Pelodiscus sinensis: one gene and its partner. The protein of the gene in region 2 interacts with the protein of the main gene of each other region in a biochemical or structural test. Links are inferred from orthologs where the notes say so. Each region holds a gene or a part of one and is shown on either strand. Other genes may lie near its edges. The genes, in order: RLN3 and RXFP3.

Region 1 (15,506 bases), on a different chromosome or scaffold from region 2:
CCCGCTCGGGCGCCTCTAACCACTACTCCCCACTCTCCTCCCGGCGGCTGTTGCCCCCCTCTCCCGCGGCCGCCTCCCTCGCAGGACGAGCCAAACGAAGGAGCATCCGGAGAGAACTCCCCCCCCCTGCAAAGCCCCCCCAACACATCTGGATGCGGGAGCAGATGCCCCCCCTTAACCCTCCCCCTCCATCCTCCCTCCGGCTTGGTCCCTCCCTGCGCCCGGGGCTGGGACACCCGCGCACCTACCTGCGCTGGGAGTCCGGGGCCGCGTTCACACGACACCGGAAAGTCAGGCGGAGGACCGGAGCCGAGGGGGAGGGGGAGGGGAAGCGAAGCTGCCGGAGCCGAGCCGAGGCGGCCGGCTGGCGGGGTCAGGAAGGAGCCTGCGCCTGAGCAGGAAGCGCGGGGGCCGAGCACACGCGGAGCGGACGCACCGGAACAAGCCCCCGGGCAGAGTCTGCGAAGTTTGCAGCGGCCCGGAGCCGGCGGGGCGTTTCACTTGCTGTGGTTCGCCCCTGGACTAGTGACTCCGCCCTGCTCTGCCCACTACCCCTCTCTCCCCTCCCCCCGCGAGTCCTGCTCGAACCACGCGCCTGCTCTAACCACTAGAGAACACTCCTTTCCCATTGCGGGAGCCAGAACCCAGGCGCCTGGCTCCCTGCTCTAACCATTAGCCCATACTCTCTCCCCACAGCGACCCGTTGAGTCCGGGACTCGTGCCGTACCAAACCACTTCAGGGCCACACAATGTTCCCGGGGCATCTCCTGAAGGGGAGTGGGGTCAATGGTTAGAGCAGGAGGCTGGTGGCAGCCAGGGCTTGGGGCTTTTATTCCCAGCTCCGATAGGAAGCGGGTGTCGTTACTAGAGTAGGGATTTGGACCCCCAGGACTCTCATGCTCTATCCAGGCAGCAGGAGCAGAGTGGGGCTGAGTGGTTAGCGCAGGAGGTTGGGTGCCCAGATGCCTGGGTTCTCTAACTGACTCCATCAGCCTCGCTGATTTTAAGTTTGATTCTCTAGAATCAAGTTGATTTTCAAGTTTGGGAAAAGTTAGTTCCCAAACTTTTCGGCATCACGCCCCCCTTTTTGATTTTTGAGAAACCCTCCCGCCCCCCCCCCCCAATAGCAGCCAAACTTGTTGAGCACAACTTGGGGGGGCTGGGTTGCCTCGCGCCCCCCCTGGAATTTCTTCACGGCCCCCAGTTTGGGAACCCATGCTCTAGAAAGACCAGTGTTTCTCAACCATGGTACCAGTACCCTGAGGGGTACTCGAGAGACGTCCTGGGTGGAGGGGGGAATACGTCAACACAGCAGAAATGTGGAGAAAACCGAATGTTTGTATTAACTTTTACAGCACTTCCTTCTTTTTGTGCTTTTTACGCCCAAACATTTCATCTCCTGCCCGGCTCCAATGAAGTTGTTTAAACAAACGTGTTGCAATGGGAGAAAAAAAATGTGTGTGTCTGAGAACTGTAGGTACTGGGGGTACTTCTAATTTTTTGAAAGGGGGCACTTTATAAGAAAAGGTGGAGAAACGCTGCGCTAGGCCGCCAGCCGGAGAATCCAAGCTCTGAGACCCTGCCCGGACCCTGGGGTCTGACTGCGCCTTCCTTTGAAAAGTCCTGTCTTTTCTCTGAGCCCAGCCAAGAGCCGCGGGGCCCCCGGCTTGTGGGGGGATATGTGGGGTGCATCGTGCCTAGGTACACAGAGCAGGGCACCGCTGGGCGAGGGGCAGCGTGGAGGGCATCCCCGGAACATGGCTTTGTGTTATCAGCCCTGCTTAACTAAACACCCTCTGAGAGCCCGGCCAGCGTGGGGCTTGCCAGGGTTACCCAACCCGCGCTGGGTGCATCGATTGCCAGGGCGGGCCAGAAGGCAGCAGGCAGGTTTCAGGTAAGAGGAAACTCATTCCTGGAATTTGCCACAAAAAATCCCCCTGCAGGGATGCGAGGAAGTGTCCCCCAGGGCTCCCCATGCCAGGAACAGCCAGGGCACTGGCTGCCCCACTCCCAGCCCCTCCCTGCAGCGGGCACCACAGGAATGGAGCAGGGGCACTGGCTGTTCAGGGAGCGCTCGGGTGCTCCAGTCCCAGCAGGAGGCGCTGCAGGGAGCAGGGCAGAACAGCAGAGGGGGAGCTCAGAGCCCTCTCCCAAGAGGGCAGGAAAGCAAGTGTGGGCAGCTGGGGGAGAGCACCGGGCAAGGCCAGCCCCAGCAGGGGGCGCTCTGGGGGAGAGCCCCTGGCAAGGCCAGCCCCAGCAGGGGGCGCTCTGGGGGAGAGCCCCTGGCAAGGCCAGCCCCAGCAGGGGGCGCTCTGGGAAGGAGAGCCCTTGGCTAGGCCAGCCCCAGCAGGCGGCACTCTGGGGGAAAGCCTCTGGCAAGGCCAGCCCCAGCAGGGGGCGCTCTGGGGGAAAGCCCTTGGCTAGGCCAGCCCCAGCAGGGGGCGCTCTGGGGGAGAGCCCCTGGCAAGGCCAGCCCCAGCAGGGGGCGCTCTGGGGGAAAGCCCTTGGCTAGGCCAGCCCCAGCAGGGGGCGCTCTGGGGGAAAGCCTCTGGCAAGGCCAGCCCCAGCAGGGGGCGCTCTGGGGAAGGGCCGGCCCCTGCAAAGTAGCTCGGATTTCCCAACCTGCAGGAACTTGCAGCCCAGAACCCTCAATCCAAGTCCAGCTCACGCTCTTAGTTTCTTTTGATCTTTTATTGAACCCCGGCTACAACCGCAAGAGGAGGCAAAGTGGGGGTGACCCAACTGGACGCGCGCGCGCGTGTGTGTGTGTGGTGTGGGGTTTGTCATCTGGTTCCTCATAAATCGAAACTCAGCCTCCAATCCCAGCATGCCCCAGGACCCTGGAGTTCACCTCTGCCCCTCCCCGGGGTGGGGGGCACCGCCAGCATGACAGACATTTCCACAGCCCGATCCCTGCAGTCCTCACTCGGGCAGGGCTCCCAGGTTGCTGAGCAGCTGCAGGGCAGGGAACTGTGGGTTTCTACTTTCAGCCACCATCCCAGGGCTGGACCCTCCGTGGGTGCCAACCGGCATGGCCCCGACGCCCGCTGCAGGTCGAGTGCCAACCTGCGGCGCCATGCGCTGCCCCCTGCCCGCCTCTAGCACAGGGAGCTGATCTCGCTCTTGCTGCACCCCCACTTGCAGCAGGAGGTGCTCAGCCCCGTCGTGACGTCCCGGGCGGCGCGCTCCAAAGGCCAGCTGTCCTCGGAGAGGCTGCGGCCCGGTTTGCCTCGCCACCTCTCGTGGTAGTCGGAGGAGAGGGGCAGCATCCCGGGCAGGCGGCTGACGTCCCACTCGCTGGAGGCAGCTTCTGTGGAGTCTTCCCCGCCAGGGGGGCCGCTCAGGATCTCGAGGTCACCTGCAGTGGGAGGGAAGGGGTTAATGTGCAAAGAGCAAGTGAGGAAGACCAGGGACCGCACCCAGGAAGGTTACAACTTCCTGTAGACGGCAAGGCGAGTTCCCCCTACTCCGGGAGCATTGACCTCTCTGCTTGAGTTGAAGGGAAAATCTCCCTCTTACTGGTAGCAGTATGGGGCCTATGACTCACAGGTGAGCCGTGCGGAGTCCAGCCAGCAGGGGAGGCCACACACCACTGACACTATTTCAGTCTCTGCCTTCTCGTTCTGATACGTGAGGGATTCTTACATTTTGGGGTTTTTTTTTGCCCCCTTTGAAACTATTTCAGGCTGGTCCTGGGTCCCCCTAGCAGGGCCAGTGGCTGAGCTGGAAATAGCAGCCAAGGCTCAGGCTAGTGCCTTAACCACCAGCCAACCCTTCAAGTCCCGCGGCTCACTGGAGGGGACAGTCCTGGCCAGCTACATCCCAGTCCTGCCACCTTTGCTGCCGGGGAAGGTAGCAGGGCTGGGTGGCACCGGGGCTCACAACACCCCCCAACACCTCCAGTCGGCTGCAAAGGCCAAGAGGGGTTAGAGCGCCCCCTTCTGGCAGGGCAGCACCTGCCGCGGGAACAGCAGAGAAGTTCCAAGTAGCAAATCCAACCCTAACCCCCATATCCCTTGCTGGCCTCAGCCTGGCTCCTCTCACGGAGCAGGCAATAGGGATCAGCTCCTCTTCCTCCAGCTGACTGAGCCCATGAGGCATGGCAACCCCCATTCCTGGCCCTGTGTGCTCCCCATTGCAGATCTCCCTGGCCGGTGGGCGACGAGGGGGAAAGGGGCAGAAAATTCCCCAGGGGGAAAAAATTGCTGTTAGCTGCTGACTTCTCGCTGGAGCAACTCTGATCTGGGAGCTGCTGGGGGGGGGGCGGGTGTTAAGGTGGGACACGAGACCTGCCCTCCTGGGCGACCCAGGCTCCCTGTGCTGCCCCTACTAACTGAACAGTGACCCACAACCCACCCCTGCAGCGCTGGGGGAGCAGACAGTCACTTCTGGATGGTGCCTAAACAAAACATGCTGCCCCCAATGTTTCCTCATGTCTCATTCCCTTCCCCACTTGCTGGGGAGTAAAGGAGGGACATGGAGCCCTGTTTTCCAGAGGGGGAAACTAAGGCACGGGGCAGGGGAGTGAGCTGGCAAGCTGCAAGCCAGTGGCAGAGCTAAGACTAGAACCCAGGAGTCCTGAGGTCCAGCTCCCCGCCCCGTGCCAACCAGAAGACCCTGCTCCCCTCCCAGTGGGAATCCAGGCAGGGACCCCCCCATCCTTCTCACCTGTCCGTCTCCAGCGGGAGCCCCCACAGGTGAAGATGACGGCCCGGATGAACTCCCGGCCGCACAGCTTGACGCCATAGGGTGGGTTCCGGCCCTCGGCCCCCAGCCTCAGTTCCCAGAGCAGCGTCCCGAACGCCAGGGCCAGGAGGAGCTTCGGCATGGCTGCTTGGTGTGGCGAGACGGGCGCCCAGGCCAGAGGAGCTCCCAGCTGCCTCCGGAGCCCTGCCGCGCCCCCCTTTATACCATCCCACCCCCTCCCCCGCCGAGGAGCCCTGCGGAGAGGCCGCACGTGGGGTGGCCTTTGGCCGCCGGCTCTGGCATGCTCTCCCCCGATTAGGCGGCTGAGTCGCTCGAGTGGCACGGCGAGACCTTTCCGGGGATGCGGGGGCAGGGCAGGGGGCAGCAGCCCCGGGTGCCAGGGAGCGAGACGCTGATAACCTTTTTGCTGGCTATCGCCGCGCCGGGCGGTGGAGGGACATGGGGGGGCGGTGAGTGACAGGCAGCCCCCGCTGGCCCTCCCTGCGCTGTCTCTCCCGCTCGCACACTCCCTCCCTGCAGGGATCTGCCGTTCGCACCCCTCTGCTGTTCCCCCACTCCTGCAGTGAGGGCGGCCGGGGTCGGAGCTGCCCAGGCCGCACTGCCCGGAAAGTCGGACGCTTCCGAGAGCCCCGCTCCTTTGGGCTGGATTCTCCCCCCCGCCCACCTCCGGAGAGGATCATTAACCCCACTCTACTATGGGGGAAACTAAGGCACAGAGCAGGTCAGGAACTCTCCTGAGGTGTCTCAGGCAGCTGGGATGGAGCCAGGAGTCCTGGCTGCTTTGTCCCTCTCCATCCCTGGGGTCATTATGGGGACTTGCTGGTTCCCCTAGGCATGTGCATGGCAGACGGACCATTCCCTATAGGGAGCGCTGGAAGAAAGCGGCTTGTGAGGTGCTCACAACTGCTGCAGTCCCAGCCTCTCCCTGCAGGGGGCGCTCTAGGGAGCAGTGCAGGCTCCCAGCGGTGGGGGAGTGGCTCATGGCTACTGCAGTCCCAGCCTCTCCCAGCAGGGGGCGCTATAGAGACAGGACAGCAGCGCTGGCTGCGGGGGGGCAGATCCCAGGTCCTGCAGTCCCAGCCTCTCCCAGCAGGGGGCGCTATAGGGACAGGGCAGCAGCGCTGGCTGGGGGGGGGCAGATCCCAGGTCCTGCAGTCCCAGCCTCTCCCAGCAGGGGGCGCTATAGAGACAGGACAGCAGCGCTGGCTGGGGGGGGGCAGATCCCAGGTCCTGCAGTCCCAGCCTCTCCCAGCAGGGGGCGCTATAGAGACAGGACAGCAGCGCTGGCTGCGGGGGGGCAGATCCCAGGTCCTGCAGTCCCAGCCTCTCCCAGCAGGGGGCGCTATAGGGACAGGGCAGCAGCGCTGGCTGGGGGGGGGCAGATCCCAGGTCCTGCAGTCCCAGCCTCTCCCAGCAGGGGGCGCTATAGAGACAGGACAGCAGCGCTGGCTGGGGGGGGGGGCAGATCCCAGGTCCTGCAGTCCCAGCCTCTCCCAGCAGGGGGTGCTATAGGGACAGGGCAGGAGTATTGGCTGGGGGGGCAGATCCCAGGTCCTGCAGTCCCAGCCTCTCCCAGCAGGGGGTGCTATAGGGACAGGGCAGGAGTATTGGCGGGGGGGGGGGGCAGATCCCAGGTCCTGGAGTCCCAGCATCTCCCAGCAGGGGGCGCTATAGGGACAGGGCAGGAACACAGCAGGGGGCGCTATAGGCAGTGGGGCAGGAGTATTGGCTGGGGGGGGCAGATCCCAGGTCCTGCAGTCCCAGCCTCTCCCAGCAGGGGGCGCTATAGGCAGTGGGGCAGGAACACAGGCAGCCACAGGCGAATCACCCCACTCTCTCCATTCTCCCCAGCAATCTCATTCCTTCAGCGCGTCCCCCAGCGCCCCAGACAGCAGGAGCGGCAGCGACCTTTGCTTATCTCCTTTCAATTACGTCCTTTCTCCCGTGGGCGCGCGAGGCCTGGGGCCGTGCGGCAAATGCCAGGGGCCAGCCTGCGGCGCAGAGATAACCCTGCCTGCAGCGCGGCACCGGCCCTGCCCTGCCAGGTGACACCTGTCACCATTTCAAACTCCCGAGCAGCCCGCACCCTCCCCCCTCCACCTGGGCCACGAGCCGCAGCTCCCTGCACGTGGCTTATTCTCTGGAGACCAAGGAGCCAGCCTCAAAGTTCCGCTTTCCCCAGGCTCGTGTGCCGTTCGCTCTGCAGCAGGCTGGGCGCATGGGAAGCTTTTGGCACGGGGGCTGGAGCGGGGAGGAATCAGCCCACATACCCTGGGGGGTAACGACAGGGGTGTGTGAACGGATGATCCATGCACAGAGGGAGTGGGGGGTGGGCTGGTGCACCCCAGTGCACTATACCGGTAAGAAGATGGCAGTGGGAGGGCGATGCAGGTGGAGATGCACATGGGCCCCAGGCAAGCGCCTGCCAGCAGCGTGGGTGGGGTTCCCAGCCTGTCCTGGACTGACGGCTGGGCGAGGCAAGCCCCAGCACCGTCCCTGCCACCTGAGGTCCCACCTCTGTTGCCCAGGGCCCCCGTGGGAGCCAAGCCGCCCCCCTTCAGAGGGAGGCGCACAGCCCTAGCCGTGCCCCTGCTCTACCTCCAGCACAGGGAGTGCAGGCCGTACGCAGCCCCAGCTCTCCCTGGCCCCGGGAGCATGGGGATGGTGCGTGGAGTGCAGCTCCAGCCTTCCCTGCAGCACAGGGACGGTGGGCGTCTTCTCCAGCCCCAGAGCATAAGTGGTGCCTGGTCCCAGCTTCCATGGCAGGCCTGAAGCCCCAGGAGACTTCGGGGGTGGGGGGGAGACAGGCTGGCAGCTTAGGAAGTCATTGCCTTCCCTTGCCTTTTACACCCCCACCCCTGCCTGCAGGCACTGTCCTCCCACAGCCATAGCCCCCATTGGGCCAGGAGCAGGGTGGGAGTGGGAAACTGACGGGGGACTGGCCCAGCCTCTCCTCCCCCTGCACACAACCCCCAACGCTCTGCCCCACAATGTGACAACGGCACCTCTTAGAAGTTTCAGTTACTTTTACCCCTGGGAGGAACTCTACCCCGCCCACCCCACGGAAAACACCCTTGAGCCTCTGCCCTCCACCGACCGCCTGAGACTCGACGTCTAGAGGCATGTTGCACACAAGCTGCAGACCAAGTCAGCCCTTGCCCCAGCAGAGCTACGGCCACTCCACAGCAGCCTCTTTGGATTTACACCCCCTCGCCGAGAGCGGGGCTCACCGAGCAGCTCAGTTTTCAGACTGAAGGCAAGAGCCAGAGCGGGGATTTGAACCTGCGATGGCAGGATGTGTCACACCTGCTACTGGCATGCCCTGAACCCGCTCCTCCCTTGAATACTAGCCATGCTGCATGCATGAGTCAGGCCTTAAAGTATCAATTCAGGATTCATAGGCTAAGTCTACACTGGTGCTTTCTAGCGCTATAAATTTCTGGCTTGGGGCACAGAAAACCAGCAAGTTACAGGGCTGTAAAGCACCAGGGCGAGCCAGGCTACAGCATGGAGAACCACAGTCCCCACAGTGTTAGCTGCTCCCTTCCTGGAGGTGGTTCACATGCAGCGCTGGGAGACTCTCTCTGTGCTTGTGCTTTGGCCACATTTTCAGCTGTGCTCTAAACTTTTAAGTGTAGACAAAGCCTCGGAAACAGCTTCAGAGGGGGAGCTGAGTTAGTCTGTAACAGGAAAAACTTCAACAGTCTAGTAGCACTTTATAGACTAACAAAACACTTAGGCTGCGTCTAGACTGGCATGATTTTCCAGAAATGCTTTTAACGGAAAAGTTTTCCATTAAAAGCATTTTCGGAACAGAGCGTCTAGATTGGCAGGACGCTTTTCCGCAAAAGCACTTTTTGCAGAAAAGCCTCCGTGGCCAATCTAGACGCGCTTTTGTGCAAAAAAGCCTCAATCGCCATTTTCGCCATCGGGGCTTTTTTGCGGAAAACAAATCTGAGCTGTCTACACTGGCCCTTTTGCGCAAAAGGGACTTTTGCCTGAACGGGAGCAGCACAGCATTTCTGCAGGAAGCACTGATTTCTTACAGTAGGAAGTCAGTGCTTTTGCGGAAATTCAAGTGGCCAGTGTAGACAGCTGGCAAGTTTTTCCGGAAAAGCGGCTGATTTTCCAGAAAAACTGGCCAGTCTAGACACAGCCCTAGATGGTATCATGAGCTTTTGCAGGTACTGCCCATTTCTTCAGATGACGGGAGTGTTGGATGTCCAGAACCAAGAATAAATGGAGGAAGAAGGGGCGGGGGCGGGGGAGGAGAGGCAAAAGAGGCAGTGGGTAGAAAAGTTTCAAAGGGAAAGCAGAGCCAGTCTGTAACAGGAAAAACAGCTTCAAGGGGCAGCCAAGTTAGTCTGTACAGGTAAACTGAAAAAAACAACAAATAGTCTGGTAGTACTTTGTAGACTAATAAAACATGGAGATGTTATCATGAGCTTTCATGGACACAGCCCACTTCTTCAGATGACTGGAGCGTTGGATGTCTAGGAACAAAATAAATAGGGGGGGAAGGAGGAGGAGAATGGAAAATTGGGGGAGGAGCGGAGACAAGAAAAGGCAGTGGGCAAAAAATATATCAAGGGAAAGCCAAGTCTATAAGCACCTAAAGACTAGATAGTCAAAGGGGAAGATAAGAACCATTAATTAGCAAACAGAGTCAGGAAACACTTAAAGACTGATGAAACAATGATATTCTTCAAAGACAAAGAACCATTGTCACTCTCATTGTTTGATAGGTAGGTAATGACCTAGTAGTCTATTAGCACCTCAAAGACTAGATAGTTCAAAGAGGCTGATAAGAACCATTAGTTTGCACTTGGAGAGGAGGAGTAACAACAGATTCTACACAGAGGTCAAGAACCATTGGCACCTTCATTGTGTGCTTGGTTGATAATGTCCCAGCCATCCAATATGGTGATTTAAACCATCTGCACAAGAATTAAACGTGTGAATGAAGTGGAGTTCCAGTCCTTCTCTGTGTATTTGGCTTGTGGAATTGGTCTGTAACAAAACAGCAACTTTTGGAGATCCCTTGAGTGTCCAAGGAGGTTAAAGTGTTCCCCAACTGGTTTTTGGGAGTTCCCTTTTCAGATATCTGATTTGTGTCCATTAATTCTTTGCCGTAGGGACTGTCCAGTTTGCCCAATATATATCGCAGTGGGGCATGGCTGGCATAGACCACATTACTGGATGTGCAGTTAAATGAGCCTCTGATTTGGTGGCTGAGGTGGTTAGGTCCAGAGATGAATTCCTTCATTGTCCATTTCAGCCGACAGGGACAGGATGGAAAGGGCTCAGAAACGAACGTTGACAGAGTGACCGGGGTCCCTACGGGCCAGGCTAAAGCACACAGGCAGAAAGGACCTGCCATGCTCAGTGGGAAAGTGGCAGGATCACTCTGTTTTCTGGAGGCCCCTATTGCCAGCCTCAAGATTTCAGCACTGGTGTGGTTTAAAACATAAATGATTGCAGAGAGAAGCCTTTGGAATGGGACCCAGCTGCAGATGACCAGACACTAAGGCAAGGGGCAGCTGCATAGAGCCTTAGGAAGGAAAGGATACGGTAATGACTGCAGAGAATCTTATTGTCCACTGTCGACCATTTGTGTATTTATTCTTTTCTGCAGGCCAAGTCAGCGTAAGACGTTGCCAGGTCAGTGCAGGAGCATAGCCCTCACTCTGAACAAGGCTTAATGGTGGCACATGGAGCAGGGAAGCAAGAGTCCGGCCCAGCGGCTTGGAGAAGTGCGTGTATCTCAGTGGATTGTTCCCTCTGAAACCTAATGATGGCTCTTAAAGGGTCAATATTGACAATAATTGCAGTGCTCACAAAAAAAGGGAGATACTGGAACCTGATACTATCTCATGTGTTCCTTTGACTTGAGAGAGAGAATACACATTCTGGGGCAGGAAGCATCTTTCTGGTCTCTCTTTGTATAGGGCCCAGCATGATAAGTTCCTGGCCTACGGCTGCAGCTCCTGGGGCTACCATAACAGCAGTCTTTCTTCCCATTGTCCAGTTTGACTCCTGACTATGCTAGGACAGACCAGAGGGCCAGCTAATAGCATCTGCCTTGCAGCAGAGCTTAATAGTCGGAGAGTCTCCTATGGGACCCTCTTTATGACAGCGACTGAATGCCTTGCAATCTCTTAATGCATTGATCTCGCCAAGCCCCTGCGAGGGAGGGCAGTGTGAGTAACGCCCTGGCACAGATTGGGAAGCGAGTCCTGGCCCGTTGCCAGTGGTCACACAGGGAGGCTGCAGCAGAGCAGGAAACGGAGGCAGCAACGCCCAAGTTCTCAGGTAGCAGCCTCACCCCTGCACCGTCCTGCCTCTTCATGCAGGCGGGAGCCGTGACGAGCATCCCAGGCACACGGGATCAGAGCAGCAGCCTGCCTCGAGGGGCCCCATCGCCCCGGCCGGGCATGCCGCAGGCACAGCTTTCGGGCTCTGCACTAGTTTAGGGGCACACCAGTGAGTGACATCACCACGGCTGCCATTACATCACTGTGGAGTTTTGCAATACCCGCAGGAAGCGCGGTGTGACATCATACCACGAGCAGTGACGTCACGGGATCAAGGCAGGAGAGGGACAGCGGCCCCTCCAAGCCGTAGCAGAAGCAGGCAAGGTAACGCTTGGCCTCTGGTAGCCAAGGACTACATTTCCCATCACGCCACGGGCGCAGAGCGCGCACGCGCACTTGTCCCACCCTGGGGCGCGGTTCTACGATCCCCAGACGTTGCTTACCAGACAGCTGATTGACGAGGGCTGTAACCAATCGCAAGCCGCCAACTCCCTGACTGGCCAATCCCAACCCGCCTCCTCACCCCCCCCGCCCTTTCCCCAGACAGACGGCGGAACTGCCTAATCAGCGTGGAGTCAAACGTGGAGAGGAGCCAATCAGTACGCGTCCTGCCCAACAGGCCAATCCCATCCAGCGTGGGAGGCGGAACGTGATCTGAAGGGCACGGCCTCCAGCCAACCAGAGCGAGCGCGGTGCAGAGCGACAGCTAGGCCACCCAATGGAACGGCCAGCTCCGACCAATCACCGCAGGGGCCTCCCTTCTCCCCCCCTTCGGCCCCGCCCGCAGCCGAGGTGGGTAGCAACAGTTGCCCCGGTGAGGGAACACGGAGGGCGCCATAGCCACCGTAGTCGTGGCGACCAGGAAACCCGGCAACAACAACAACAACCGCCGCGAGCGGACCCCCTCCCCCCCGCCGGCTACGCGAGCCCCGCCAAAATCCCGGCCCCGCCGCGGCCGATGAGCGGCGGCTCCGCCCGAGCCCGGCGCGTCGGAGCCTGAAGCGAAGCGGCCTCCGCGGGGCGGCGGGACCGGGCCGCGGGGAGGGACCGAGAAGGTGGGTCCGACTCGAACCCCCCCCTCACAAAATGGCTGCTGGGGGGGGGGGGCGCGCCCCGGGGGGGGGGCACGCGGCCGGGGGGAGCCTCGGGGCCGCCCGCGCCGGAGGCGCCGCCCTCGCTCGACTGAGGGCCGGCCGCTGCCCCGGGATTAAGAAGGGCCCAGGCCCGGTGGGCGGGGCTTGCCGTGCTCCCCGGTGATTGGTGGGCGGGCGGGCCAATCAGAAGAAGCGGGGCGCAGGGGGCAGCCAATGGGGTCGCGGAGAGGGCGGGGCGCCGCGTGGGGGGGGCTACGATGGGGACCCCCGTGCCCGCCGATCTGGGGAAGGGGGCGGGGCTTCCCTGTGATGTCACGGCCTGTGTGACGTGTCAGGCCGATGATGTCATAATGTGAGGTGGGATGGTTTCCTCACCACTGTCTCGTGGTGACCTTGCACGGCCGCTCCTGGTGAACTCCCGCCCCCCCCCCCGGCTGGCCATGGTGGGTCCCTGGTGTCGTCACGAGGCCTTGCCTGGCCAGCCGGGGGGGGGGGGGGGTAGTGCCGATCGAATCACGGGGCGCCGATGCCACGGGGGTCACGAGGCCGGCCCGTGGCATCTGAACCGCTGTGCCCCGTGCAGAGAGGGCGGTGCGCCCGCACGGGCGATGGCGGCAGAGCACCAGTGTCGCAGGGGCAGACGATGCAGCGTCACATCCCGGAGGGGTCCCCGTGCTAGTCTGAGTCTGCAAAAACAGCCAGGAGTCCTGTGGAGCCTTTCAGACTAACACATTTGTTTGGGCATAAAGTCAATCTCTTGGTCTTTAAGGTGCTACAGGGCTCCTCGTTGTGTCCATAATATCGCTGTAAGTTATCAAACCCCTCCTGGCCAAAGGGGGACTTGCCACAGAGCAGCATTGTGCCACGAGAGGCGACGATGATATCTTACCTCGATAGCCATCGTGTGGAGTCAAAAGGGGACAGGCAATGACAGTGCCCCTTTGGAACGTCCACTCCACGAGGCAGCAGGCTGACGTCCCAAAGCGCTATCATGCCGTGGGTGACAGGTCACTCTTGTGTCAAAATGCCATCAAAGCTGCCGTTGCTCATGCTTGTGTAAAATGTCATTGTGACTGTGTTAAAGCGTTATTGTGCTGTCATACTGTGGCACTGGGAGATGACAACATAGCATCAAAATATCACCGAGGAGAGACATCATGATCACATTTCCCAGGGCCCGGAAACAATTTCCAGACCCAGAAATGTTCTCAGTAAATTGAATCCTGTCAACAAAAGTGGAGCAGTTCACGAAAATTACGGCTAGGGACCATTCAACAGGAAACTTACCTGCTCTGTGGTGCTAAATTACCCACTCCCTGGCTTTACATATTCAGTAGGGGGTGGATTTGCACCTTTTATATGTTTTCCTGTGGTTCATGTGACTGCTTCATAACTTTATTATGATGCTGCGTTTATCTTGGTGTGTCTGTGAGTCCTTTGTGTGACTTGCCCATTGGCTTCTTTCTGGGCATTTCTCAAATAAATTGCAAGGGGACAAGTAAACAGGGAGGAGGGAGATGAGATGAGGCTTGGAGGCAATAGCTACTAGGAGCTGTATAGATATTGTTCAGTTTAGATTGAGTGAGAAGGAAGAGGAGGATCTTAAGCTGCAAAAGGTGAGATACAGGAACTAATCTTGTGAGGTGTTGAGTGCCCGCAACGTCTTTTGAAGCCATAGGCAGTGCTCAGCACCTTACAGGATTACACCGTCTAATCAGAGATCTTTGCTGTAGATTTGTCATTCCAAAAGCCGAGAGAGTTTGAATCCATTCCTGTCATCCATGCCCTTTTGTATCAAACTGGCCCCAGCCAGCGTTGACTGGTCCCTTTTAAGCAAATCACATGTTTTGTGAAGACATTCCAGTACTTTATAGGATGCATGTAGAGGGGAATCTAACTGGGAAAACAAAGTGCTGCTTTGATTACCATGCTGCTGTGTCAAACAAGAAAAAGAGACAAGATGGAATAGACCATTACTTTGATCTTGGGTGAAACAAATCTGTCGCTATAAAGGGTCAGTGGAGGAGCTGTGACCCTTTGTGTCATTAAATACTAAAATGAATACAAATAAAGGGGCACACACAGGTTAAAGATAATATGTTTTTAAGTGCTGTTGCCTTCCTTTGGAAAGGAAGGGTTTTGTGATCAAAGTACTGACTGTCTAGAGTTCTGGCTTCTATTTCTAGCTATATGAGAGACTTCCTCTTTGACTTCAGGTAAACCATATTAACCTCCCTCAGCCGCAGTTTCCTCCTTTATAAAATGAATATAATGACACCCACTTCCCAAAAGTGTTAAGAAGTTTAATTCATAAATGGTTACAAGGGATGGTGTGGTAGAAGTACAGAATATTATTTCCAGAGGCTGTGTTACTCATCACACCTTCAGTGAATAAAATGAAGATAATTTACAAATCAGATTCACTTCTCACTATTGATGCTGGGTCCAGGGCTGAATCTGGCCAGTGAAAACAGACTGGCCGCTTTCACTTTTATTTCTTCACCAATTTCATTTTCCGGTTCTTATGTCAGAACTGTGAGGAGGGTGGCCAGTGGAGCTTTTGCTGGGTGGTCCCCTCCTTTGTGTAGCAGAAAGGTTCTCGAGCATCTCTGTGGGACTTGTAAGCACAAAGAGCCCCTTGAGACCGGTCCCCCACCGTTATGAAATATGAGATTTAATCTTGAGGCTCGGGCTGCTAGCCCAGGGTCCTGGCCAGATTCCTGCTCAGGTGATTCCATGCTGCCTCCGGCATTTCAGCTGGATATGGGCTTCTTCGCTCCTCCTGTAGCCTTGCTGTGTGCTGTTAAACAGCTGCCATGTGCCCCCTTCCCCCAGCGATGGCTGCATTTTAGTGATAATGCCAACGTATAACGTGCCTGCCGGTTTGATAAGCTCCTTGGCATTCAGGAGAAGGAAAAGGCCTTACAGGCACATGAGATAGTTTTGTTGTCTGAGCTCACTTGGATCAGTCAGCTGAAGTTTGATACTTGGAAAGATAGTGGAACAAATTATTTAATAATCAGTTCGTAAGCACCTGGAGGACAATAGGGTAATGGCCAGCATGTATTTGTCAAGATCAAATCATGCCAAACCAACCTAATTTCCTTCTTTGGCAGCGTCACCTGGTTACCGGATGGGGGATGCAATAGACATGATATATCTGTATTTTAGTAAGGCTTCTGACACAGTCTTCATGACAGTCTCATAAGCAAACTGGAGACCTGTAGTCTATCTGAATTGTACTCAGAGAGTACTTATCACTGGTTCATTGTCAAACTGGTAAGAAGGGGGGACGTGGCACTGGTCTGTCTGGGGTCTGGTACTGTTCAATATTTTCACTAATGACCTGGTTAATGGAGGGGTGTTTATGCTCATAACATTGGCAGATGAC
Region 2 (15,528 bases):
GGTTGGACTTGATGACCTCTTGAGGTCTCTTCCAACCCTATGATTCTATGAAGTCCTTGGAGTACAGAATCTCTGGAGTACATCCACATTGGATGGGTCATCAGTCCTTTTTTCTAAGCTTCAATTCATAGCAAAGATCCTACAGAGGGGAAAAGCAGGATTGAAAACCAAAATGGAGGACTTTCAGGGCCCTTTATATATCTTTGGCCATATAGAGCAAGTGGTGGGCAATAATTTTTGGTGGGGGGCCACTCCTAGATTTTGGAAAGTGGTCAAAGGCCACACTTTTTTGTGGAGGGGGTGCGGGAGGGCATACAGGGTAAGGGACTGAGGTGCAGAAGACAGTGTGGGGTCTCAGAGGGTGTTTGGGTGGATTGGGGTGTTTGGCAGAGATTGGGGTGTAGGGTCAGGGAGGGAGTGTGGGTGCAGGAGAGGATTCTGGCCTGGGGGAAGGGTGAGGGATGGGGTAACAGGGTCTGGGAGGGTGTTGGCACCTGGGGCAGAAGGTGCAGAGGCTTTGGATGGTGATCTAGGGGAGGGAGCTGGGGTGCAGAATAGGCTGGGGTGCAGGAGGCAGGTGCTGGCTGGGAGAAGTTTACCTAAGTGTCTCCTGGCCAGCAGGCTGCAGCACCTCCATGGCAGGCTGGGCTCCCTGCCTGCTGCAGTCCCAGCCTGCTTGAAAATGCAGCCTCCTCCCTCCACATGGCTCTCAATTGGGCACGAAGAAGAGGCTTGCACTGCCCTAGTCTCTCAGGCCAATCTCTTAGCTCTGACTGGCTTGCTGTTTCCAGACAATAGAAGCTGAGTGATTGGCTGAGGTCATTTCTTATTGGCAGGTTGTTTCTGGCCAATAGGAGCTGAGGACTGGGCTGGGGGCCAGGAGATTGCACGAAGCTTCCCTCTGCCTGCAGAACAGAGAATGGCAGAGACAGTGTTTGAAACCATGGCAGCTGCTGCCTGAGGGTCCCAGCAGGGTGGTCCGCAGGCCAGATCCAGTGGCTTGGTGGGCCAAATCCAGCCCCCAGGTTGTATTTTGCCCAGCCCTGATATAGAGGGAATCCCATTGTTCTCCTGTGGAAAAATACAGATACGAAATAGAATTTTTCATATGAGCAAATCACCTTTCCATGCATGACTCAGTTCTTTACAGGTGGATGTGATTGCTCCCATGCTGATCTAAACTAGGGTTGCCAGATACTTTCACACAAAATACCGAACATGGCGGGAAAAAAATTCGTTGAGCAAAAAAACAACAACAAAAAAGAGCCACTGCGCCTTTAAATCCCACTCTCCCTGCCCCTGCCCATACATCCCACTGGCCTTCCATCCAAGAAAAACAGAAAATACCAGAAATTTTACATGTCCAGTATTTTCTGTTATTGTTACCGGACAGAGGCCACAAATACCGGACTGTCCGGGCGAAAACTGGACACCTGGCAACCCTAATCTAAACATTCACAGAAAAGCTCATTGGATGTGAATTGGCCCCACTCAAAGCCCATTGTCAGTCAAATACTTCTATTCACTTGACCAGAAGTCCTGTCACAATAGGCTAGCCAAGCTTCCTATTGGTGTCTCCCAGAAATGAACATTTGAAACATTAAGTTCAAAGCCAACACTCATCACTTCAAATACAAAAATGATACATGCATACAAATGCTATAAACAGAGCCACCTTTTGATAGACACTTCACTTGGCCCACTTTGTACAAGATTTCATGCAAACATATAACAGTGGTTGCAACAGTAAGCTGTTTGGGCACCGTTTAAACTGATAATGTCACACAGCTATATGTGAATAGAATGGCTAGGGCACAATTAAAGGTACGAGGATGAAATCTGGTGACAGTCTACAGATGTGTAAGCTGTAAAAACTGAGGAGGGAGAAGAATTCCTTGTGTTGGTGCTGCGTGATATAGCCAGAAGAAACAGGCTAAAAGCAAGCAAGGAAAATGAAGATTGAATGTCAGTTCAGACTTAAGTCTACAGAGCTGGGATTGTCTCCCAAAAGAAGTGATGGAAGCCCCATCTGTGGAGTCATTAAAATTACTCTACACAAAGAAACAGTGTTAGTTCTATTGTTCAACAGGGAAGAGCTACTACAAAGTAAACGTCAGAACTAGTATCCCAATATTCCCACTTCAATGCTGGCTGTGGCTCTGATTCTACTAAAGAGGTGAACAGAGGTAGTAGAAATCTCTCTCCCATCCCGAAGGCTATATAACAGGTTATCTAGATAACCAAATGTCATCTGTTCTTCTTTGAGGTCCATTTATAGAGAAATTTCAGATATGTTATTTTTAATCTTGTTTCCTTATTCTTCTCTGGGGACACTGCCATTTATCTGGCACAACCAACATCTGGCAAAATTAGGGGATGGACATTGGTAGATTCCTTTCTCCTTATCTTCTGTTTCAATATTGTTCATGAAGGACATTGGAAAGGACATTGACAGCTCACCTGTGATAACTTAAATACTCTCAGTGCTGAGTAAAGGACTTACAATTAATAACTGATGTGCAAAAAAGTTAGCCCCAAAGTCTGCGCATGAAGTATCTGTGAGCAAATTCAAATAAGTGGGAAAAAACAAAATATTCAGAGAGTTTTTGTGACTCCCTAAACGGCTAATCCTCCATCACTCTTCAAGCAATGTAGCTTAGTTGTAAATGGTTACAACTAAGTTAAGTTATAAAGTGTTATTTCTGTTCTCCATTCGGATTAATAGGAAAATCCAGCTGACAATATCATTCACATGTCCAAATTTAATCATGTTTCCAATTCATGATACCACCACATCAGTGGTTACTGTGACATTAGCTACCCATGAAAATTCATGCCATTAAAACCTGTTTACATGAGTATTCCTATAAATCAGAGACAAAAGGATCATAAGTATAGATTTAAACATTAAATATTCAAATCAAACTTTCTACCAAGCTTTATTGCCGGTGTATGTTGATAGCCTTCTCATCTTGGAGGGAGGTTTTCTACTGAAAACCTTGTGTTCATTTCCTTTCTATATCCCAAAAAGGGAGTTTTGGAGGTGAAATTCATCCTTGTCCCAAGACTTATTGCACAACGTCCCATTTAAACTTCTGCTTCTCAATAGGGGGTGTGGGAACAGTGAAACCTTAACATACAGATGAGCTGTAAAACTTTCAGCTGTTAACAATTATTGTGTTAGTACAAGATGGAGGGATCAAAGATACTCAGAGAAGCCAGAGAGAGATCAGATGAGTCCAAGAGAAAAGCCTTGGGAAAGAGGAGAGTCAAATGAATAAAAAAGGTCCCTTTCCTTTAAATAAATAAATACATAAATAAATAAATATTCAGAAAATTGTTGTTAAAGGAGTTATTCTTTGAGCACAGTTCTATAGAGAAAATAAAACCTTGAATTATGCAGATCCCATCTGAGCATCCTATGGTAATTACTCTTTTTAACTAAGTCCATTCAAGACCTTTAATTTTATTACTTTTTTCTTCAATAACAGGAGGAGGAAAACAATCCTTCACAGCTATAAAAATGTCACAATAAGCAGTCTCTTGGTGGTCTCGCCTGTTATTTTTTTGTATTTATAATGGCAAGTAATTAGAAGCAATTATAATAATAAATGCCTTGTCTTTGGAGAAGGTCCAAAAGGAGGTAGAAAACAGAAAGAATCCTTCAGGATAAATAGTATGAAAATTACTATTTTAAATAAACATAGTTAAAGCATATTTGAAAGCCAATTTTAAAGCATATACTGGACAAAAATAATCTCTGGTGTAATTCCATTGCTGTGAAAGGGCCAAATTCTCAAGCTGGTGTAAATCATGTAAGCACCATTGTCTTCAATGGTCAAATAAGATGATTGATATCCATTGAGTATTGGACTGAATAGAGATTATTTAATTACTATAGCTTTATAAAATATGGCCTCAAAAGTGCCATCCTTGGATGTAGGTTAAGGAGCTAAATAAGAAAAACTTCTTTACACAGCATGTCCTCAGCCTGTGGAATTCTCTATTCTAGAGGGTAAGAGGGTCACACACTCTGACTGGGTTTTTAAAAGTGATGGATAATTTTACAGTCAATCTCATTTGGCCAATGCTAAGGCAAGGAAATAAAACTTCATATTTATATTCACACCCCTCAATATATAACAACAATATATATGTTCAGCTACCCCTCTGAAATGTCAGAATAGTATCACAGATGCAGAGCCTCCAGTGAGCCTCAATTCCATCCCTTTCCAAAAGCCTTAGTACATAGATATACTTTGTAACATTCCCTGAACATCAGGGGACAAGGACTATTTCAGACCCTGCCTGGATTCTGAAAAATGTTACAGTCAGGAACATTTATGCAACTATTTATATGTATCAGATTGTTTGTATGTTTGGAGCCTTACTGATTTATGCCAAGTACACCGTGCGTATTCACATGTTACTACAAACTCCACTGATATTCTGATAAAAAAGAAGCACTACAAACAATGTACGTGTTCTGAAAGGTCCTGAATTACATTACTGCATGTAGAAAGTATGAAGAATAGTGTTTTTTGGAAATATAGGAATAATAATCAGGAAATCATTTATTTTATGAATTTTGGGGTTTTTTCACAAAATGTGATTACTTTTTTCACTAAATTTTCCCCGGATACAGAAATGGGTTGATTAATGTATTTACAAATCATTCATTCACCGAATATCACATTACTTTCAAATAAATCATTCATTTTTTAAAATTATTCTTCGAGCTATAGCTTGCTCCTTTTGCTATCCCTTAAAATTCTTTTCCAAGATCAAAAAGAAATGAAGAAGAAAACAGAAGATAAACATAAAGGCTGTGCAAGCAGTTATGCCAGCCATTCTCGTGCTGCCAAGAGATGCTTTAGCTCATATTCAGTTAGAGCAACTCCCACATGCTTTATTTGATCGGCTTGCATTATGAATACATACGTCTTCCTTCTTAATCATTCCCTTCCTTCCATCCCCAGTATTTTGTGTCCCTTTCTTGTTTTGGAACTTCATTACAATTTAGTCTCTATAGTGTACCAACCAAATATGATTGGCAAGAAAATATACAAGTAGAATAAAACTCATTTCACACAAAAGACAGGTTCTGTCTTTTTCCCATTTAAGTTACAAGAAAATTGGGCTTATAGATCTGTGTGCTCAGAAAAGGGCTTTAAATCTTCAGAGATCATGATGAGAAATCAAATTTTGCATTCTGTGTCCTATTAGTTCCTGGCATTTGGATTGGCTGTGAAAGAAGTTAAATGGCCAAATGAAAGTATAAGGAATAGTATTTTTTGGAAATATAGGAATAATAATCAGGAAATTATTTATTTTATGAATTTTGGTTTTTTTTCCAGTAAATGTGATTACTTTTTTCACAGAATTTTCCCCGGGTACAGAAATGGGTTGATTAATGTATTTACAAATAATTCATTCACCGAATATCACATTACTTTCAAATAAATCATTTATTTTTTAAGATTATTCTTCAAACTACTGTATAGCAGTTGAACTATTTGACTTTCAAGTCAAATAAAGATGATTCCTTGACTGCTAATTACAAATGGATGAGGAGAAGAATTTAAAAAAAAACAGAGAAATTGAGCAACCTTCAAGAAAATCAAGAAACTTGTTTGTTGTACTCTTAATTTTGAGTAAGATCTAAAACAATGCTCTGGATATAGGATTAAAGACTCTGCACTGCTGAAAAGGAGACCTTGACATTTCACAAGATCAGACTTGTTGTGCCATGTTCAGATGTAGGCATTTCTACCTTCTCTATATAACATTCTTCTGTAGGTTCCATTATAGGAGGTAGCCTTCTTTGGTTCCTGTCCTATGATACTATGAAACATCATTAAACACCTATTGGATTAAACACCTGGAAGTGGTTTAATTTGGTACCTAGTCAGCGAAGTACTTTGGAATTCTTCTATCTAAAAGGTGCAAATTAAGTTTTTAATAATGAGCAGTATTACCTGGTCATAGCCCCATCCCAATAACTACAGGAAAGGGTGAAGATATGTAAAAGATATAAAAGAAGGCACTTCTTTACACAGCATGCCCTCTGCCTGTGGAATTCTCTGTTCTAGGGAGTCAGAGAGTCACACACTATAACTGGATTTTAAAAGATGATGGTGAATTTTGTGGTTAATCACATTTGGCCAACTGTCCCCGATCCTTTTTTTTTTTTCGATGAATTTTCCCCGGTGGGTTTTTGTTGTTTTGTTTTTGCTTGGCCGGGGCCACCAATTGGTTAGGACCGGCTCTGGTTCTGACACCTCTGCATCACCACAGGAGGCTTTGGGTAGGCTCCTGCAGGAGGACCCTGTGAAGTTGGGATTGGCAAGAATCAACACCCAGCAAGACCTGAGTGGCAGCCCACACAGCCTTATACAGGTACTTAAACCAGGAAGTCATGAAGAGGAGCTATGTGAGTAACACCACTCCTGTCTCCTGATACCTGATTCTCTGCCTGCCTTCTCACCTGTCTTGGACTCTGACCTCCTGGTATCTGAATTAGCCCAACTCGTTCTCTAACCAATTGATCTGACTGTCTATGTCTCTGTCATGCTGACAAGGCTAGATGAACACTGGACACTTCATGTACATAATCTGTTAGTGAAAATCCTATGCTCCTAAATGAGGGCTAACATATACCAGTGCATTTTAATACAGAGTATTTCCATTACAGGAGTACTGAGAGATGCCAATGTGGATTGGAACCACATTGTATTAGGCACTGTACATAGATGAAAATACAGTTTCTCACCCTCAAAAATTTGTAAGTTAATGCCACTATTCTTCAGTTCAGAATGTACAGGCAGAGTGCTATATCTACAGAGAGCCCCAACAAATCTATGTGGGTTCTGCAGTCTGCATGCATGCTCTCACATGCAGGGTCAGGGCCTAAGAAGACAGACAATACACCAAATTTGACAGGAAACACAATATATACTATTTCTATACACATATGCCCTCTTGCAAAGTTTTTAAATATTATAAAAGTTCTGCCAATTATCCTTATATTCTTCTTGAACCTTTATTAACTGCTGATTTATTTTACAGATACCAACACCTAAGTGGGTTTTAAGTAAACTTCAGTTAGAGAAAGGCATTCCATGGCTAAGAGGGAGCGTGTAATAAGGTACAGAAATATCTGTGTGGAAATGTAAATCAAATAAAATCAGTTTACAGACCACGGGGATAATACTTGACTTGTGTAAGTTGCTCTTGTGCTCTTCAGAGGTTATATTTAGAATGAATTGTGGTCAGAAAAATTACTGAATATTTTGAGACTTGGTTCCTAAAGCCCCTTCTTCACACAGACACATATTTTCAATGTATCTGTTGCCTAATTTGCTGACAAAGACATATTTCACTACCTCAAGAACAATAAACAATGTACCTGCAGCAGAACATGCTGTATTTTGTACTGCCTCATGTGCAATATCAGTGCACAAACAAAACGGCCAGCTTGGTTATTTTCCAGAATCTGCATTGTTCCTAATGACATATGTAACCAAAAGAAAAGAGCTGGGTTTTGGACAGGGGAAGGGGTCAGTGCCAGCAAGGAGGGGAGGAGATTTGCTTTGATTTGTTTGTTGTGTGTGTGTGTGTGTGGGGGGGGGAGATGACATAAAAAGGTAAGGCTGCTCCAACAACCCAGTTGCCACTTAAACTTTTCTCCACCCTCCCAGGGGCTACAGCAATGAAACATGGATACTAAGGTTTTATTTGTTAGTGGCTGCTGATTTTCTCGAAACCCTTATTTTATAAAGCACTATTTTCCCCTGAAACCTCAGAGCCCCCTAGTGGCCAATGTTAAAATATTCATAAGGATTTTCTATCAAAGGGTCTCCGCTGTTTGAAGTCAACGGCAAAGCTCAGAGGCACCTCAGTGGGAGAATAATAGGACTCAAATCCAGGGCCACCCACCTAACCTGTACTATTTCTCATAGTAATCCTCTATCGCATTCTTGCGGCCTTATCCAGCGTCTGATGCTCATCTTTGCTGTTTTCATGTAACCCATTCCAAATTAAGAGATAAGGATCATCGGTACCTTCAGCCTTTATTTTAAGAAGTCAAAGATTGTCAGTCATTTAATATTCATCTGTGGTCATTTAACATATTTACCTTTCGTTATAGAAAAATAATTCCGAGACATTTTCAAGTTGCTCACAAAAAAAGGGGGGGGGGGGGAAGAAAGATCAAATAATTTTGGATTCGTTCTGTAGCTAAGCAAAATGTAGTACCGCATGCCTCCAAGGAATCCATGCGTTACAGGAACATTGGATAATGCCAGGTTGGGTTTGTTTATAATCCAAAACATTTGCAACGCTTTTCGTTAAACTGAATTGTCTTGAAGCCGATAGCCACCAAACGGAACCCTGGAGAATGTAAGGATGGAAATGACTACGGTGGGTGTAAAATATCATGTGAACAAAATAACACTGGAAATAAATATCACACCCCATTTATAAGCAGAATTAGTTACACAACAGAACAAATAACAGAGATGAAAGTCCGCTTGCGGCACGGACAAGCCTCATGGTAAACAAGCTCTGTGCTTGTTGAAACTCAACGCAAAACTTGCCACCGGACTACAGGTTTTTAAAAGTTTGGATGCACACAGAAGGGGCAGCTTGGGAGTTTCATTAGACCCCAGATACACTCCACGCTTCATTTAAAGTCTGTAGAGAAGGGAAGCGGGGTTGGGTTCCACGTTGGACTTTGGGATACACAGAGAAGACCAGGGCGGTTTAAAGGGTGGGGGGACCCAGGTGACGGGCGGTTGGACGTGGGGAAGGGCTGCATTTCCTATGCTCGCTTTCTCCGGCGCTGTTCCAACGCAGCTCGCTCCACCAGCGCGGGGGAAGCCAAGTCCCGGCTGCCGGCAGGTGAGTTCCGAGGAGGCTGGGCGGGGGAGAGCCGCCTGCTGCAGGGGCGGCTGCGCTGCTCCCGCCGGGGGTGCCGGGCCGCTGCCGCGAGGCGGGCAGTGCCCAGCCGGACTGCCCCGCGAAGAACCTCGGAGAGCTCCGGGCGCTGCGCACGCCCCCCCGCCCGCTCCGCGGGGGCCGAAGGGGGATATAACGCGGCGAGCTGCGGGCAGGGGAGACGCGCCGGCAGCAGCAGCGGAGCGCGGGGGGCACCCGCCTTGCACCGCGCCACGCCCCAGCCCGGCTGGCTCCCACGCCGGGCCCCCGGAGCCGTCGCGGCGGTCCGAGCCGGTGGCTGCCGCGGGGCGCCAGGCTGAGCATGTGCTTGGCAGGCGAGGGGGGCCCGGGCCAGCCCGCGCAGCGCGGCTCCTGAGCGCAGCCCGGCCTGGGAGCGAGAGACCCGCCCCCGCCAGCCTCCCCCTGCCATGGGATGGACGCCCCCTGCGAGCCCGCCGCCTGCTCGCCGGCCTCCCTGCTGCTGGGCGGGCAGTTCGGCAACGGGACCAACGAGTCCCTGCCGGAGCCCTCCCGGGGCATCGCCCTAGAGCGAGCCGAGGGGCTGCAGGGGGACGTCTCGGCCGCCCTGCGCATCGTCATCTCCAGCGTCTACTCGGTGGTGTGCGCCGTGGGGCTGGTGGGCAACCTGCTGGTGCTCTACCTCATGAAGAGCAAGCAGGGCTGGAAGAAATCCTCCATTAACCTCTTCGTGACCAGCCTGGCGCTGACCGACTTCCAGTTCGTGCTGACGCTGCCCTTCTGGGCGGTGGAGAACGCCCTGGACTTCACCTGGCTCTTCGGCAAGGCCATGTGCAAGATCGTCTGCTATGTGACCACCATGAACATGTACGCCAGCGTCTTCTTCCTCACCGCCATGAGCGTGGTCCGCTACCACTTGGTGGCCTCCGCCCTGAGCAGCCAACGGCGCGGCCCAGGGTGCTGCTCGGCCAAATGGCTGTGCCTCCTCATCTGGGGGGCTGCCATGCTGGCCGCCCTGCCTCACGCTTTCTTCTCCACCACTGCCACTGTCTTCAACGAGGAGCTCTGCCTTGTCAAGTTCCCCGAGGGCCGTGGCAACAGCGCCCAGTTCTGGCTAGGCCTCTACCAGGCCCAGAAGGTGCTGCTAGGTTTTGTGGTGCCGTTGGCGGTCATCAGCCTCTGTTACCTGCTGCTGCTGCGCTTCCTGGGTGAGCGCCACGCGGGCCGGGCCTGTGGCGGGCCCAAGCGGCGGGCCAAGGTGACTCGCTCGGTGACAGTGGTGGTGCTCTCCTTCTTCCTCTGCTGGCTGCCCAACCAGGCGATCACCGCCTGGAGTGTCCTCATCAAGTTCAACGTGGTGCACTTCAGCCCACAGTACTTCTTCTCGCAGGCCTACCTCTTCCCCATCAGTGTGTGCCTGGCACACTGCAACACCTGCCTAAATCCTCTGCTCTACTGCCTGCTCCGCCGCGAGTTCCGCGCCGCCCTACGCCGCCTGCTCTGGCGCCTGGCCTCGCCCTCGCTCACCGCCACACGGCCCTTCACTGCCACCACCAAGCCCGAGCCCGAGGAGCCAGCACTACGCACCCTGGTGCCCGCCGTCACCCCTCCCCAGCCTGACCTCCTCTACTACCCACCCGGCGTGGTGGTGTGCAGCAGCCGCTGGGACATGCTGCCCAGCAGCTCTGCCGAACAGCGCTGTTGAGCTGATGGGGGTTTTTGGGGGCAACGGAGGGGGTGTCTGTGAGGGATGTGCTCTTAGGATCCTCCTAGCCCAGGGACAGTGGGTGTCCATGTGAGACAGACTCAGGAGTGTCCCAGCAGTGAATGGTGGTGTGCCTGTGGAGGATGGTTTCAGGAGAGGAGTTGGGGGATGGGCTCCAGGGAATGTCCTATGATGGAGGGTGTCTCTAGGGGGAGTAACTCTGGGGATTATCCCAGCAGTGGGGAGTGGACTCCTGGGACTGTCCTGGCCTTGAGAGTGATGGAGGTCAAGGGTGTTTGTAAGGGTTTGCCTCTGGGGACCACCCCAGAAGTGGGTGGAGTGGGGGAGGGGCGTCTGTGGAGGTTGGACTCCTGGGTCTGCCCCAGGCTGGCTGTGGAGTAGTGGAAGGGGTATCTGTGGGGCAGTGTTCTTTCCTCTAGGGAAAGGGGATGGCAATGGGGGAGACTGAGGCTCCATATGGCCAGGCTACTGTATGTGGAGAGGCTGAGGGGACTACATGGGGAGCAAGGATTCCTTGGAAGTGGAAGATGCTTGCAGACTTTGTATGAGGAGGTGGCAAGAGGTATGTGAGAAGCAAGTCAGGACTTTCCACTTCCCACTAGAGCCCAGATTGGGAGGGCCTGGCTTTGTTCTCCCCCAGCACTGAGCTGGGGAACCAAGCACGACTCACTGTAAATACAACTGCATGCTTGGCTCTAGCACAGCTCCTTTGAGAACGCTGTTCATGGAGCATTCACTGCAGCACTTCACCCTCTGTTAGCCTGTTTCAAAGTGAAATGATTCACACCGATAAACAAAAACTAGAGTAACTGATATTTGGGATCTGAGTGCTGCTGAGAAGGGGAAGGGGCTTTTTTCCCCCTAGTTCATTATTTGTAATTATAAACTTTGCAGTAGTTGTGAAATGTTATGTCCTACCATCAGCTATTGTTGTCAATCATTTGTGGTCAGAGGGTACTGTATCTGTAACGGATCATTGTCTAGAAGGAATCAAGCCACTGCATTGCCAGTTTTAAGGACAGGCTATTCAAAGCCCTATGCCAAAAGGCACCAGGGGGACCATCTAGTCTGATATCCCATAGAACACCAACCACAGAACTTCCACAAAATCATTCCCTAAAGCACATCTTTTAGAGCAACATCCAGTCCTGATGTAAAGATTGTTACTGATGAAGAATCAGCCATGAGTCCTAGTGAGTGGCTAATTAACCTCAGTGTTAAAAATTTACACCATATTTCCAGTCTGTATTTGCCTAGCTTAAAAATTTCCAGTCCTTGGACTGTGTTATAACTGAGCTGGATTAAACAATGAGGAGTCCTGTGACACCTTAGGGTACATCTACACTGCTTGGCTATTTCAAAATAAGCTATTCCGGAATAGTTTTTTTGAAATAGCTTATTTCAAAATAACACATCTACACTGTAGGGATGCCTCAAAATTAGTGGTTCTCAACCTTTCCAAACTACTGTTCACTTTTCAGGAGTCAGATCTGTCTCATGTATTCAGGTTTCACCTCACTTAAAAACCACTTGCTTAGACAAGCAGATATAAAAGTGTCACAGTACACTAATAGTGAACAATTGCTGACTTTTTATCATAGAATTATAAAATTCATCAATTGGAATATAAATATTGTACTTACATTTCAGTGTACAGCAATATAGAGCAGTATAAACAAATCATGGTTTTAGATTTTAGTTACTTCACAAGTGCTTTTTATGTTACCTATTATAAAACGAGGCAAATATCTAGATGAATTGATGTATCCCCTAGAAAACCTCGGCATACCTCAAAGTATGAGGCATATTTTCTCACCCTTTAATCAATCTATGTGCTTCTCTGAATCCTCTCCTATTTACCAGACCCCTCACAGCATTCTAGCAGTAGTTACACCAGTGCCAAATACAGTGGCAACATAGCCTGTCTGCAACTACTTGAGATTCTGCTGTTTATTCATCACAGGATTGCATTAGCTCTTTTGTCCACAGCACCGCACTGGGAGATAATGGTCACCTGATCATCCACCCTGGCCCCAAAATTTTCTGAGTCACTGCTGACCAGGATAGATTCCACCATCCTGTAAGTATGGCTTGCATCCTAGATGTATATACATTTACACTTCCCCATATTCAACCATGTTGCTTACACCATGTTAACGAAACAATCCTGACCACTCTGTAGCAGTGACCTGTCCTCTTCATTAGTGACCCCCTTGCCATATTTTGTGTCCTCTACAAATTTTATCAGTGATGATTTTGTTTTCTTCCTTGTAGTTTATATAAATGGTTGGACCTCCCTGGTCCAGCATCCACGGAACCTGACTGGCCCTGGATGAGAGATTTTGATAGACCAGGGGAGGTCATTTCTGGTCCCACTGTTGCTGGCCCCATCTGGCTTGCCAGCTCCTGTCCCTTACCCACAGTTCAGCTGAGCAGCGCGCTGAGCTTTCCAGCTCCTGGCCCTCCCCTGGCCCAGCCCAGCTGAGCCATGCACCAGCCTTCCCTGCTTCCATCCAGCTCCCTCCCCAGGCAGCTTCCCAACTTCCCTCCTCCTGGGCAATCCAGCTGAGTCACGCAATGGGCTCGTGCTCTCCCCCCCCCCCCCCACCCTTGCATGTGGTCATGCTGGACCACGGATGTTGCCAGACTAGAGTCCCAGTTTATAGAGGTGCAACCTGTAGTATAGAGCTAAGAAAAGATATTCAGTTAGCTAGACAAGCTCTATTTTCCATAAACCCCTGTTGATTTGCATTAATTACTTTATCCTCCTTTCATTTGTTATTAATCAAGTCTGCTACCAGCTGCCCCTTATCTTAACCAGGATCAATATCAGGCTGACCAGCCTATAATTACATGGGTTAACCCATTTACCATTTTTTAAAATTGGCACATTACCTTTCCTGTAGTCTTCTAGAATTTCCCTAGGGCTCCAAGAGTTACTGAAAAATCAACATTAGTGATACAGCAAGCTCATCAGACAGAGCTTTTAAAACTTTTGGGTGCAAGTTTTCTGGACCTGCTGACTTAAAACATTTACTTCTAATAGTATGGAATTGAGTGTTATCATAAAATGAGACATTTGTTTTCTCCCAAATGCAGACAAATATGAATATAGAGGTCCTTGGCAGAATTTCCATGTGTCTGTTTTTGTTCATATCTGCTATTGTGGATGTTAGATCTCCAAAGATCATTGGGCTTTATTCATATAAAACATGCCACAAGAGGTCATTACATGCCTCTTGTCACAGTTCATACATTCTAACCCATGATGAAATGGATGAGGGTGTCAAGGATGAGACCAACCCCAGTATTTCAGCTTATGGAGTTTCCTATTCATCTGGGGAGACAGACTTGTCCCTTTGTTGTGTGGAAGGATCCATTCCATTAGCAGGACTGTGAAGCTACACTGATTTCAGGAGATCTACAGAAGACACAGTGCAAATGTTGTTGCCTCTGTTATGTACATGGTCCCACAGCAGCTTCTGTAGGATCTCTTTTCCCAGGTGCTTCTCCTACACAGCAGCCCTTGAAACTCGGAGGAAAAAGAGTTCCACAGGGCTAAGAGAATGGGGAGGGAGGAGGTGTGAGACTGAAGCACAAGGTTAGGCCATATTAATTTGCATTTCTTTCTGCTGTGGGCTTGGAGAAGAGAATCTGGAGGAGCCCCCTTCTGCTGCTGGTCTGACTTCTACAATTACATGAAGCTGGAAGTCTAGGGAATCCCACAGAGGGAAAAGAGAGGAAAGGGGAAGAATGGATTAGAGGGTAGAATTTCCATCTTACTATAGATTCTTCTGGACTAGAAGTTTTGCTCCTGTTGTAGCTCAAGCTACTAGCCAATAATTTGAGTTCATTAACACAATTGTAAATTTGATACCCCAGACACTGCACTGCTGTTCACTCCAGAAATCAAATGTTTGGGATTCCCCTCTGGGCTCAGCCTACAGTGGATCAGAAAAAGTTGTGAACTGGAAAAATGGAGAACATGCATTGGCATTTAAAGTTGCATGGTTAACTGGAGATCAATTAACCCCACTTACAACAAGAGCAAAACCTCTAGTATAGACAAATTTCATCTGTGAAATTCACTCCTGTCAAATGAAGTGGGTGGAAAAGGGGAGGGAAGTGGGGTATTCCATAAAATGGCATTCTGGTGTCTGTGTGTGGGGGGGGGAGGGGGGAATATTCCCCATTATGGCCATAGAAGATGAGGCCTTCAATTTTTGGCCAGGAAAACCTTGCATTGATTTCAATTGGAATTTTACTCAGTCCTAGGGAGGTACGAACAGAGTCCTTCTGGATTTGGCCCATGCTGTACATGCTAGTGAAGCCCAGGGTAGAATTAAGACTTGCTCCTGTGCTCAGACTGCAACTGGTCCAGTCATTGAAACCAAAGAGCCATTTATCTGCCTCAAGACAATTGAGACCTATCTGGTGGTATCTTTATAACCCTGAACACTGACTGAGTAGGGTATTAGAGACATACAGCAGTGTTCACAAAGCAACAATAAGCTAAAAGCAACTCCGTGCTCTGAGTGTCCCTACCCTCTGTTTGCCAGAAGCTGGGAGTGGAGGAAAGGGGATGGATCACTTGATGATTACCTGTTCTGGAAGTCAAATCCTACTGAGGAAAACAGGAGCATAAACTCTTGTCAAATTAACTGTAAAAATATAATTTTAAAAAGCCCAAAAGGAGTTTGAAGCTAGCCAAAAACTCAAAGTAATAGCAAAATGTTCTTTAAGTATATCAGATGTAGGAAGCCTGCTGAACAACCAGTGGGGGCGTTGGACGATCAAGGTGCTAAAGAATTACTCAAAGATAATAAGGTCATTGCAGAGAAACTATATGAATTCTTTGCTTCAGTCTTCACAAATGAGGATGTTAG

Evidence for each region.
Region 1: the proteins of RXFP3 (region 2) and RLN3 form a complex in vitro, tested with the Homo sapiens proteins (2 studies listed by BioGRID, with this or other methods). The link is inferred for Pelodiscus sinensis from reciprocal best matches to the Homo sapiens genes RXFP3 and RLN3.

Annotation. Positions count from the first base shown.
Region 1 is NW_027465944.1:298,770-314,275, reverse strand, and holds RLN3 (relaxin-3), read right to left. Parts: upstream 5,833-15,506; 5' UTR 4,829-5,832; coding exon 4,669-4,828; intron 3,359-4,668; coding exon 3,099-3,358; 3' UTR 2,682-3,098; downstream 1-2,681. UniProt on the Homo sapiens protein: May play a role in neuropeptide signaling processes. Ligand for LGR7, RXFP3 and RXFP4.
Region 2 is NC_134716.1:107,509,311-107,524,838, reverse strand, and holds RXFP3 (relaxin-3 receptor 1), read left to right. Parts: upstream 1-8,637; 5' UTR 8,638-9,370; coding exon 9,371-10,621; 3' UTR 10,622-14,350; downstream 14,351-15,528. UniProt on the Homo sapiens protein: Receptor for RNL3/relaxin-3. Binding of the ligand inhibit cAMP accumulation.